3 linked regions of the Schizosaccharomyces pombe genome follow. The gene in region 1 interacts genetically with each later gene. Each region holds a gene or a part of one and is shown on either strand. Other genes may lie near its edges. The genes, in order: smn1, pex13 and acp1.

Region 1 (3,203 bases):
GTAAAGTGGAAATTCCAAGCTTTTTGCAGTTACTTAAATAGATAGACCAATATTTTTCTAATTTCTTGACGTATTTACTTTTTTTAGACAGTAATATATCCATGTATGAGTAATTTCGGCATATACTTAAACTGTCTATAGAACCCACATCTAATTTATCAAAATATGCTTTTAAATTTTCCGTTGAACAAAGTTCATTAGGTAAACCAGATATAAAAACGGTTCTGTCCGTCAATCTATTTTGACGAGCCAGATATGATTGACGAATGTCAGCAATCGATTTTGTTGAGGAAAAAAGAACATAAAGAAGAAAAATGGAAATAAAGTAAGTAAAAAGAACGTAAAGATAGAGAAATCCATCACCAGGCTGTGGAAGACCTGGTATATCAGATAAATTACCAATTGGATTAAATAAAGAAGGTCCTAACACACCAACATTTAACTCACTACCATTAGCAATAATAGGAGATTGTACAATTGACTTCTTGACAAGTGGACTTGAGAAGAAATATTCAGATTTGGCAGGCATCGACAAAGTAATATTCCCGAATGCATCTCCACGAAAATGCTTATTGACGGGCATAATAATCAAAACGCCAAGCAGGGAAGCAAAAGAAAGGAATTTTATACCCATTTTAAAAAACAATAAAAAAACGTAGCCGTCCAAACCAGCACAATTTTGCACTACATCATCAGGGATGTTTACTAAATCCATTAACCATTTGTAGTACGATGAAGAAAGTGTAGGTAAATTGAGACCTTCAATGGTAGTTCTAGGGGCATATAGTACTTTCCATCTTTTACGAAAGAAGCAAAAGAATACGCATGCAGAGGCTCCAAGTAAAAAGGCGAGCCAAAATTGAGTTCTTAAATCGCTCGATGGATCTGTTTTCAGCGATGAATCTCGAATCTGTAGGAATTAACACCCGCAGATCGAAGATTCAAACAACGTTAGCAATTTTGTTACAAATGAGGGAAGGATAGGTATACTTACTTTTTCTAGGATCACTGTCGAAAATACCATATCCATTGAAAGCCATTATTGCAAAGTAGCAAACTTAAGGGTCCTTTCGTCAAATTATCGAGGAATGAATGAACGATCGTTTCAGAAAATCGAGAACAAGAAAAATCTGATCTATCCAAGTATTATATGCATGTAAAAAGTAACGGAAAAAGGAAATTATCAAAAGATACACTATTGAAATATGTTATGATAGTTTTTCATGAACGAAAATCTTTAAAATATGAATGTATGTAGAGGAGGGATAGTAGAACGATACTCATCCAATACCCATTCGCATGGTCTTTCAGAATGCGATATGTACTTAACGTAAATTAAGATGACGATGCATAAAAATATGTAACGTAATTACGTGGAGCTACCTTAAATTCAATTAGGTAGTTTAAAATCTATCCCAGAAAGCTAACTTACTGAGAAGTCCTCGCTAAACCATATTAGCGCATGTAGCATTTAATGAATTATTCGTGTGGATATTAGATAACTGATTTAGGTTGATTTTTGTAGCTTATACAATTCCTTTTTCTTTTTGGTATAATAAAGCCAAAATCGTAAACAAAGATGAATTGGAATAAACATTCTTTCACAATACTTCCACGAGTTCACATCGCCATGTGCGAACCTCGTTATATCTTTGACCTCGAATTCTTGTAGTCCTGTCCACTAAGGCGGCTGATAGTTAAGGCAAGGAGCTAAGTTACCACAGCAGATTATAATTGTTGTAGTAAGCGGAATCGCCGAGCTCAAACTGTTTATCGTTATACGCGTTGTGCTTTATAAACAATATTTTCACTTTAATAATATTCAATTAATATAAGAGTTAACAAAGTTGGAAACTACTTGTTAATAAAGCTTTCTTAAGGTACAAAGAAAGACATACAGGAATAGATTATCTACAACTTGTACCAAAAATGGACCAGAGCCAAAAAGAAGTGTGGGATGATTCAGAGCTCAGAAATGCCTTTGAAACCGCTTTACATGAATTCAAAAAGTATCATAGTATTGAAGCAAAGGGAGGAGTATCGGACCCGGATTCTAGGCTAGATGGTGAAAAATTAATTTCAGCTGCACGGACAGAAGAATCAATAAGTAAGCTAGAAGAAGGTGAGCAGATGATAAATCAGCAAACAGAGACGACATTGGAAGGAGATACACATATCCAACAGTTTGCAGATAATAAAGGCCTTAGCGACGAAAAGCCTGAAACAAGGGCAGCAGAGACACATCAAGAGTTTATGGAAGTTCCTCCCCCTATAAGAGGGTTAACATATGGTAAGTAAAAGGTCTTCTAAGAAAATTTATGACTCTCTATTATTAACATAATGATTTAGACGAGACTTACAAAAAGCTTATCATGAGCTGGTACTATGCGGGCTACTATACAGGTTTAGCTGAAGGACTTGCTAAAAGTGAGCAACGTAAAGATTAGCTTCTTGTGCTATTTTTCAAAGTTATGTATATCTTCATTGTTGATGTTGTTATAAAACTGTTATCCTACTTGCTATTGCTAAGATTTATTACTCCTATCAAATAGTTCTATTTCAATTTTCTTTCTAATAAGTAGAATTTATTTGGTCATTTATTAAATCCAATGGAATTTTTAATTGAATCAAAATAATATCATTTTTGCCTAATAGAAATTTTTTCTGAATCAAGTTGCTGAATTTGTTGGGGCATTCTACTCAGCGTTGTTTTTGTCTCTATTGTAGTCATAGTAAAATGCAAACCATTGAAAAATCAATTTATAGGATATGCTATGTTTACACATGTTTTTTAATGAACATTTGAAATTTATAAGTATTTAGTCCTTGATACCATTTATTCTGTTGTTTACATATATGCCTTGACTACTGCTAATCTTGTTACCTTCCATAGTCTTTTAACAACTATCGTTCGTCTCCACGGTGGTGATGTAGTTGTAGAGGGTGCCACAACACTCCCTCCGACAAGCTCCACCACCTACTAGCGATTTACCTATCACTACTACATAACCCGTTTTGAAGCGACACAAAAAGAAAACGTGAAAATTTGTGTCATCTATTAGCAAGAGCTGTCAATGGGTCAGACATTATCAGAGCCAGTCACCGAGAAGCACTCGGTGAACGGGAGCAATGAGTTCGTCCTTTATGGACTTTCAAGCATGCAAGGATGGCGTATCTCAATGGAAGATGCTCATTCTGCTATA
Region 2 (3,665 bases), 1.3 Mb from region 1:
AAACTTTCCTACCTAAATTGAAAGCTGAAAGAGAATTACTTTCTAAGCAAGAGTCCATGGAAAAGCAATCAATGCATGTTGACGAAGAGTCTAATCAAATTCTTGAGAAGTTTCTTGACGTATATGATATTATTAAAGCTAAACTTCCTCCAAATGTTGCCGAAAAAGTTGACTACTATGTTGAAACCATCATCGAGACTCCTGAAATTGGGATTGCAATTGTTGCCGTTCTTGGCTCTTTAACCGCTGTTATTCTTACTTGTTACTTTTATTTCTTTGCTTCCTCTTCCCCGGCTTCTTTATCTACTGGAACTACGGAAGCTGAGAAAGAGCAGCAAGAGAAGTTTAAGCAAGAGACTGAGACTGAGAAGATAGACGTTTCTTACGCTCCCGAAACTGAATCACCAACTGCGAAGAATGAAGACTAATGAAACTGCTAAAATGTCAAAAGTTTTTCTTATTTTAAGAATCGCATAGAAGTTGCAATAAACTACTTCCTGTTCCTTTGTGGACTTTTGACTGAAGTAAATGAATATATCAATATATATACTCACTAATACAGCATATTTTGTTTACAAAGTTTGACTCAAAGTAGCGACTCTGTTAAAAGCCTTAGTCTAATTATAAAATACTTGAAAATGTTTTCTCTAGTTCTTATTATGAGTAATATCAATAAATAGACTATGAATTTATAAATCGTGGGTAGTACTATCAAAAAACTTTTTACAACTGCGCATTAGTCGTCAGAGAGAAATGATCAGGCATTTCCCATAAACAAGTGCAAGTAATGCGTGAAATTCTGCAATCAAGAGAAAGGATGTTTGTCTACATATCTTGTGAGAATAGTAGAATAAATTGTCAAACTAAAAAGTTCGTTTACTATACGGGATTCAGACATTTTATTGTCCTCAAACAAAATATCGTAACGTTACCTTGAAATGATTGAACAATAATTTGAAGGAAACCACCCAGTCTCGCCAGATCTCTTTCTTCCTTGCCACCATTCGCAAGGATTACCTTGGGTGTCTGTTTTAGATAGAATTGCTATGATATCTCCTTTTTTTAAAGACATTTCCACTCCCGGATCTCTGGACATAAACTCATAATCAGCCTTGCAAAACTCAAGACTATCAATTTTTTTTCTGATTTTTGCTTGTTGAATCTGTTTTTCTTTTTCATAAATATTTTTGAATAACCTAATTATTGCATAAGGTAAGCCCACCAACCCAAGAATAATTGCCAAGCTACTGACAATTGAATATATTGAATTTTTATGGTTTCCTTCCTCCTTCTCAAATACATCATATTCTTGTGAATTCATTTCATCGATTTTAGAATGCTTGAAGAACTTTAAAACTAGGCGTTTAAGCCGCGACAACAATGAAACAATACCAAATATTGCACCAATAGACGATTTTAGTTTGTTCAGATTTTCACTCACAGAAACAAATGTATTATAACTCATGTGAGCAGCCATTAAAGTAGACTCAAGGACCTGAGCTATACTTCCAACGGCACCTACAATAGATTCAATGACCTGCAGTGATGATATAGGTCCGTTCCCTGGTAAATTGGTTTCCAAAGGGACAAATGGATTAAAGGAAGGAATGAAGGAGTTAAAACCCGAGTATGGATTGAATCCCATATTGTAGTAGTTAGGATTAACAATCCGATTTGCCAAGGGATGCTGAGTAACGCCTTGATTCGTATCAGCATTTGAGTTGCTTACAGACATAATTCCTCCAGCAGGATAAGAAGGTAGACTTGGTCCTTTTTCATTTTGATTTGTTTCCATAGTTAAATCTCAATAAGCTAGATGCGTCCTTGGCAAATATTCTAATAAATCAAAAAGTTGTAGGATGAGTCCTTCGTAAATACGCTGCACGAGCTATTAAATAGGAACTAGGTCGCTTTATGTCAAAGTTGTCGGTGTGGTAGAATACATAGTCCGAAATAGTATTAATGGTAGTCCAATCTGAATACTAACGCCTTAGAATACAGGAAACTGGTATCAATACTACAATTGAAAATTTCCTAATATTTAATAGCATAATCAAAATAGATACTTATTTTTTTCACAATTACTGATTAATTTATTTGGTATGGATATATTACGGATATTATATTATTATACACGATTAGTCATTCCAAATTAAGAGATTTGTAGAGTATTCATCACATACTAAATATTTTCTTTTTTTTTTTAAATAAATAACTTTTTATGCATGGTCGATTCATGACTCAATGGTCTGGCTATGGATGAATTCCACCACAACTTTGGACTTAAGGAGCTTTGAAATAACGTCTCTAAGATATAAAAGGACTTTCTTAAGTAAGAAACTTTCACGCTTTAAAAGCTCTACCGATTCTGAACGTCGTTCGGTTGGATTGTACATATTCTCAATGTTTGTATTTAGGGCAGCATCCGCTAATTGTTCAGCGAGACAAAAAACACGTAAAATATACAAATCTCTTTTAGGAGATAATTGTACAAGCTTTGGCAAATCTTCAACTGAGCATTTTTGACCTTCAAATTCCCAGTCAACTGTTTGAGCTTTTGATTCATCACACACCATTTTGAAGTTTGTAAAGTCTTCAACATTAAGTACAGAAAAAAAAAGAAATGGAGCATGCCACCATAATTCCCCAGATGAATCAGAAACAAATTCAATCATGGGGGGAGTTTTACAAGATCTCCTTTTAGCAAGATCAAGCGAGTCATTAGAATCCTCGGGAATCAAGAGTTTCATAACATTTGTAATCCGATCGCCCTCAGGTTCAGGTAAAAAACCATAAGAAAATAAAAACTCAGCAGAACCTTTTTCACTTCCATAGTTTATCGTAACTTCTTCATTTTCATCAATGTCCTTGTCAAGATAGAGCTGCATAGCATCTTCCGAAAATGACCATTTTGCATTAGACTTAGAGGAGTGATTACATAAATCAATCACAGGAGCTAAAACTGGATCTTTAAAGGGACTTTCAAGGCACCTACTGTGAAACAAAGCATCAGCATGAACCCATTTTGGGAGTGTTATTTTACTAGGCCAGGAATCAGAATACCGCTGGTTTAATGAAAGCCACTCTTGTTGTAAAATTTTTCTCTTGACACAAACTGGATTAAAAATCGAAGTGCCTTGGAGGCTGTAGACTTCTTTTTCGGGCCATTGTGCAGGCGTATTGATAGATAAAGGAAGAACCGTTAAAAACTTATCCCACTTGTTGGTTCGGGGTTGAATACCGAGCCATAAATAGCAAAGAAATAACATAGCCTGAGTTCTGAAACTCATATCGTTCCATTCCTCAAGCGTTGCGATTGAAGCGAATTTATCACAAGAATTTCGAAATTGTTCAACTGTTTTGCGGCATATTATATTTTCAAGTGGAACCTCTAAAAGAACAGTTCCAGAAGTATACCTATTCAAAGAAAAAATTCCATTGCCTTTCTTTCGTATTTTTTTTATAGTAATTTGTTTTGCTCCCGGCGCAAATTGGTTGACCAACTCATTGTATTTGATATCCATTGACTTGATTTTCTCAGTCTTAAGCCAAAACAACGACGGAAAACTTAACAATAAAATGTATTTAATCGAGTTGAAATTTATTGGTTGTTTATTAATAACTCCACGACTTTTCTAAGTCAATAGCAACGAAAATACCCTGTC
Region 3 (3,685 bases), 3.8 Mb from region 1:
TCATCCGCTTAGGAGCATTAAAAGTACGGCTGAATTGGAGTGCATGAAAGAAGCAGCCAATATAAGTTCAAATGTTTACAGGGAAATTATGCGGAAAAGATTTGAGAAAGAAGCTGAAATGTCCGCGGAATTCAATTATCGGTTTTGTATTGGAGGCTGTGATAGATCCGCATATGTGCCTGTAGTAGCAGGTGGAAAAGTAAGTAATCAATTCCTGAAAATGCTGAATGCTATTACTTTAAGCTTTATTAACAAAGAAGAATGGCTTGACTATCCATTACACAATTAATAATGATATATTCCGTCCTGACGAAATGGTTTTGGTAGACGCTGGCGGTGTAAGTGCCTTCAATTTTTTGTCAATTAACACTTGCTTAACAGGAATTCGGTGGTTATGTAACAGATATCTCGAGGACTTGGCCCATCAACGGCAAATTTAGTACTGTACAAAGGGATTTATATCAAGCAGTTCTGAATGTGCAAAAGAAATGTATTAAGTATTGTTGCACCAGTAATGGCTGGAGCTTGGCTGATATTCACTTTGAAAGTGTTAAATTAATGCATGAAGAATTGAAGCAGGTCGGCATTCATGGAACTAAACGGGTAAGTTTGCTACTTCGCAAAATATTCGTACTAACTTCCTTGGCTATAGGAGATTACAGATATATTGTATCCGCATTCAATTGGGCATGAGATTGGACTAGAGATTCACGATTGTTCTACGAATAATGGTTACCAACCGTTGCGCAAAAACCAAGTTGTAAGTTGAAGTTCTTTTCAGATTATTTGCTAAACGGGGTTTAGATTACCATAGAACCCGGACTATATGTTCCAGAAGAAGACGGATGGCCTCAATGGGCTCAAGGAATAGCTATTCGAATTGAAGATAGCGTAATCGTTGGTGATGACAAGCCGTTCGTATTAACTAGTGCTGCTCCAAAAGAAATTGAAGAAATTGAAGCTTTGAAAAAGTAGAGATTGTGTTACCTATTGACTAAGAATTAGGACTACATCTGACTATCGTAGAATAAAAGACATTATTTTTGGACTAAGTTTCTTAGAAGTAAGATTGAAGGGAAAAAAATCTATATATACTGTTAAATTTTAATCATTACACGAATTTTTTTTTAATATTTTATTGAAAAGTCAACGTCAAAAATAAACATTAGTTTAGAGAAACAAGAAACGTTTTCAAAATAGTTCTGGCATTCGAAGTGTATGATTCCTCTGACTTCGACAGTATTTGCTCAATTCCTTGAAGACTTGACTCGATTTCCACTTTTCAGGTGCTTCCCTTTCTCCTGAACACCAGTATAGACTAAAAATTGGACGTTAAAATAGCGCACATTAAGTATATCAAGTTCATTTACTTACATATCCCAATCGGGCTCATCTAATAATTGATCATACTCTCGCAGAAGAGATACTGGATATTTATCAATCTGATCTTTGGCGAAATTAGATAAAAGCAAATCCGTTTCCAATATTCCCCGTTTTCTAGATTGATATTTAAGTCTTGCCAACATTGCGTCTCTAGTCTCGTAAGAGCGATTCACCCTTTTTAAATCACCTTTGGTATGCTCGAAGCGAAGTTGAGGCATTCTATTCATACATCTTGCACTTCTTAGAAGCGTCGTGATATTAGATAAGTTTGTCTTCCTTAACATTGTTGATATTTTCAAATGAACAACTAAGCGATTAACCAGACGACCTCCGAGGCTATATTTACTTATATATGAATAAAAAGAAAAAAAAATTAGGTTATAGCTCCTTTTTTTGGAAGATTTGGTAGACTATACAACTCTTTGGTGATAGTTTTGCGGCATTGTCTTCACCATCCGTATTCGTTTCTTACCATTCACCATTGTCCGCACCACATTATAGAAATTTCGAAAGATGGAAAAGGAGGCAATTTACAAACTCATTAGAGAATCTCCTCCAGGAGAAGTTAATCAAGTAGTTCATGGTTTGTTAAAGTGCTGAATACCTCAACATTCTAATGCATATAATAGATATACGCGACATCGGTCTAAGTGATGAGGAAGCAATTCACGAACAACTGAAGCTTTATCATGAAGACTACAACTCTTCTGTCAGCATATCGGATGACGAAAAAGTAATTATTTCAGCTGATAATCGTCTAGAGGGCAATCGCTATTATGATCAAGTTTTACAGAAATCATTTACCATTAATTATGAAACTATGGTAAGGTTAAATTTTTCAAATCTTTTTTTTGTGATAATTGTTAAATAGCTAACAGTATTCATAGGAAGCTGAAAACGTTGAAGATTATACCGAAGCCATAAAAATTCCCGATGAAATAGTAAAGCAAATTAAAAAGGTTGCTTCGGATCACTATCTATCTGATGTAACATTTGGAATCATCAAAAAAAGCGATGAAGTGGAATCGTTTACAATTGTTTTGGTTTCTTCAAAGTATAATCCCAAGAACTATTGGAACGGTTCGTGGCGCTGTATATGCAATTACAACGTTTCGGAAAAGAAACTGGAAGGCAGGTCGCATATTCGTGTTCATTACTATGAAGACGGAAATGTTTGGTTGGATGCATCCCGTCCTATTTCTGCTACAGTCGAGGAGACCAGTAAGCTTTATGAAGTGTTGGCTCAAGTCGAAAATGGAATTCAACAGTCCTTCAACGTTGAACTTTCTTCACTTAATGACAAAAAGTTTAAAGAATTGCGTCGTCAACTTCCAGTCACTCGCCAGAAAATTAATTGGGAAAACGTTAGTGGCATCCGTATGAGAAATACTTGAAACACTTATATGTGTTTATAAATTTTGGAAATTTTTTTGCGACGATATTTTTTAAGACGGTGATTCAAGCTGTTTCCTTTTCCTTCTTCCTAAATACATATACATTGTCGCTCGATATACGACTAATAATTACTAGTCGTTTACTTTCTAAAACTTTACAAGAGCAACTCACACGCTCTTTTCTTAAACTCTTATAAGTTTTAGGAAATTATTTTTTTACGATCAATAATACAAGTTCTTCATCATTTTTTTACCGCTCGTCACCAGTAATTTAAGGGCGTATTACTTTTTGTGTGTAAGCATCAGTCGTGCTATTTATCACCAGAATATGCTCTGAGCATCTGACTTTCACCTCTGACTTTGTGATAATATAAATAAATAATGAGGCATTATTAAATCACAAATCTTGTATCTCTAATTAACATTGATTTCATGGTTCAAGCAGCAATTAAAGCTTGAACTTGTGTAGACAGTTTGAGATAATATCACTTCTAAAATTAAACCCAAAAGTAGGTATTCCAACTAACTTATCGTTTTCTTCCGACAAGACTGGAATAGTAAACCTGATATGGCCCGGAACTTGTATACAAAATTTAAGAAACTCTTCCTTACTCAAAAATCCCTTCAATGAATTTAGATCTTTGGAAAGCAACGGTCTAAGTATAAGTGTAGTCTGTGTATTTTTGCAACTGTACTTTATCCAAAACCTGTGATCCCATAAAACATAACGATCAGGATTTATGGTTATAGTTTTTTTTTTCAATTCAGCTTTACTAAATGGTTGTCTGGAAATTTGGAGTTGTAATTTAGTGTCGTCCTTTATAGAAGAGGAAGTGAGTAGACATTTAGCAATTGTTAGCTTTTTTCCATCAAAAACTGAATTACAAAGGCTTACAACAGAAGATCGT

The links.
Region 2: of smn1 (region 1) and pex13, a mutation in one rescues a mutant of the other (synthetic rescue), as found in Schizosaccharomyces pombe (one study listed by BioGRID).
Region 3: of smn1 (region 1) and acp1, a mutation in one rescues a mutant of the other (synthetic rescue), as found in Schizosaccharomyces pombe (one study listed by BioGRID).

Annotation. Positions count from the first base shown.
Region 1 is NC_003424.3:821,576-824,778, reverse strand, and holds smn1 (SMN complex subunit Smn1/Gem1), read left to right. Parts: upstream 1-1,824; 5' UTR 1,825-1,929; coding exon 1,930-2,290; exon of another isoform or gene 2,291-2,349; coding exon 2,350-2,447; 3' UTR 2,448-2,687; downstream 2,688-3,203. Other genes in the region: SPOM_SPAC2G11.09 (Ca(2+) transporter), read right to left, coding at 1-885, 995-1,040; protein phosphatase PP2C catalytic subunit Ptc3, read left to right, coding at 3,075-3,203. UniProt on the Schizosaccharomyces pombe protein: The SMN complex catalyzes the assembly of small nuclear ribonucleoproteins (snRNPs), the building blocks of the spliceosome, and thereby plays an important role in the splicing of cellular pre-mRNAs.
Region 2 is NC_003424.3:2,083,378-2,087,042, reverse strand, and holds pex13 (peroxin 13), read right to left. Parts: upstream 1,934-3,665; 5' UTR 1,796-1,933; coding exon 929-1,795; 3' UTR 610-928; downstream 1-609. Other genes in the region: calnexin Cnx1, read left to right, coding at 1-428; lysine methyltransferase Set8, read right to left, coding at 2,235-3,524. UniProt on the Schizosaccharomyces pombe protein: Component of the PEX13-PEX14 docking complex, a translocon channel that specifically mediates the import of peroxisomal cargo proteins bound to PEX5 receptor.
Region 3 is NC_003424.3:4,583,359-4,587,043, forward strand, and holds acp1 (F-actin-capping protein alpha subunit), read left to right. Parts: upstream 1-1,856; 5' UTR 1,857-1,896; coding exon 1,897-1,966; intron 1,967-2,012; coding exon 2,013-2,206; intron 2,207-2,270; coding exon 2,271-2,777; 3' UTR 2,778-3,178; downstream 3,179-3,685. Other genes in the region: peptidase Icp55, read left to right, coding at 1-199, 261-338, 382-603, 653-760, 805-975; succinate dehydrogenase subunit Emi5, read right to left, coding at 1,192-1,318, 1,375-1,667; til1 (tRNA(Ile)-lysidine synthetase family protein), read right to left, coding at 3,226-3,685. UniProt on the Schizosaccharomyces pombe protein: F-actin-capping proteins bind in a Ca(2+)-independent manner to the fast growing ends of actin filaments (barbed end) thereby blocking the exchange of subunits at these ends.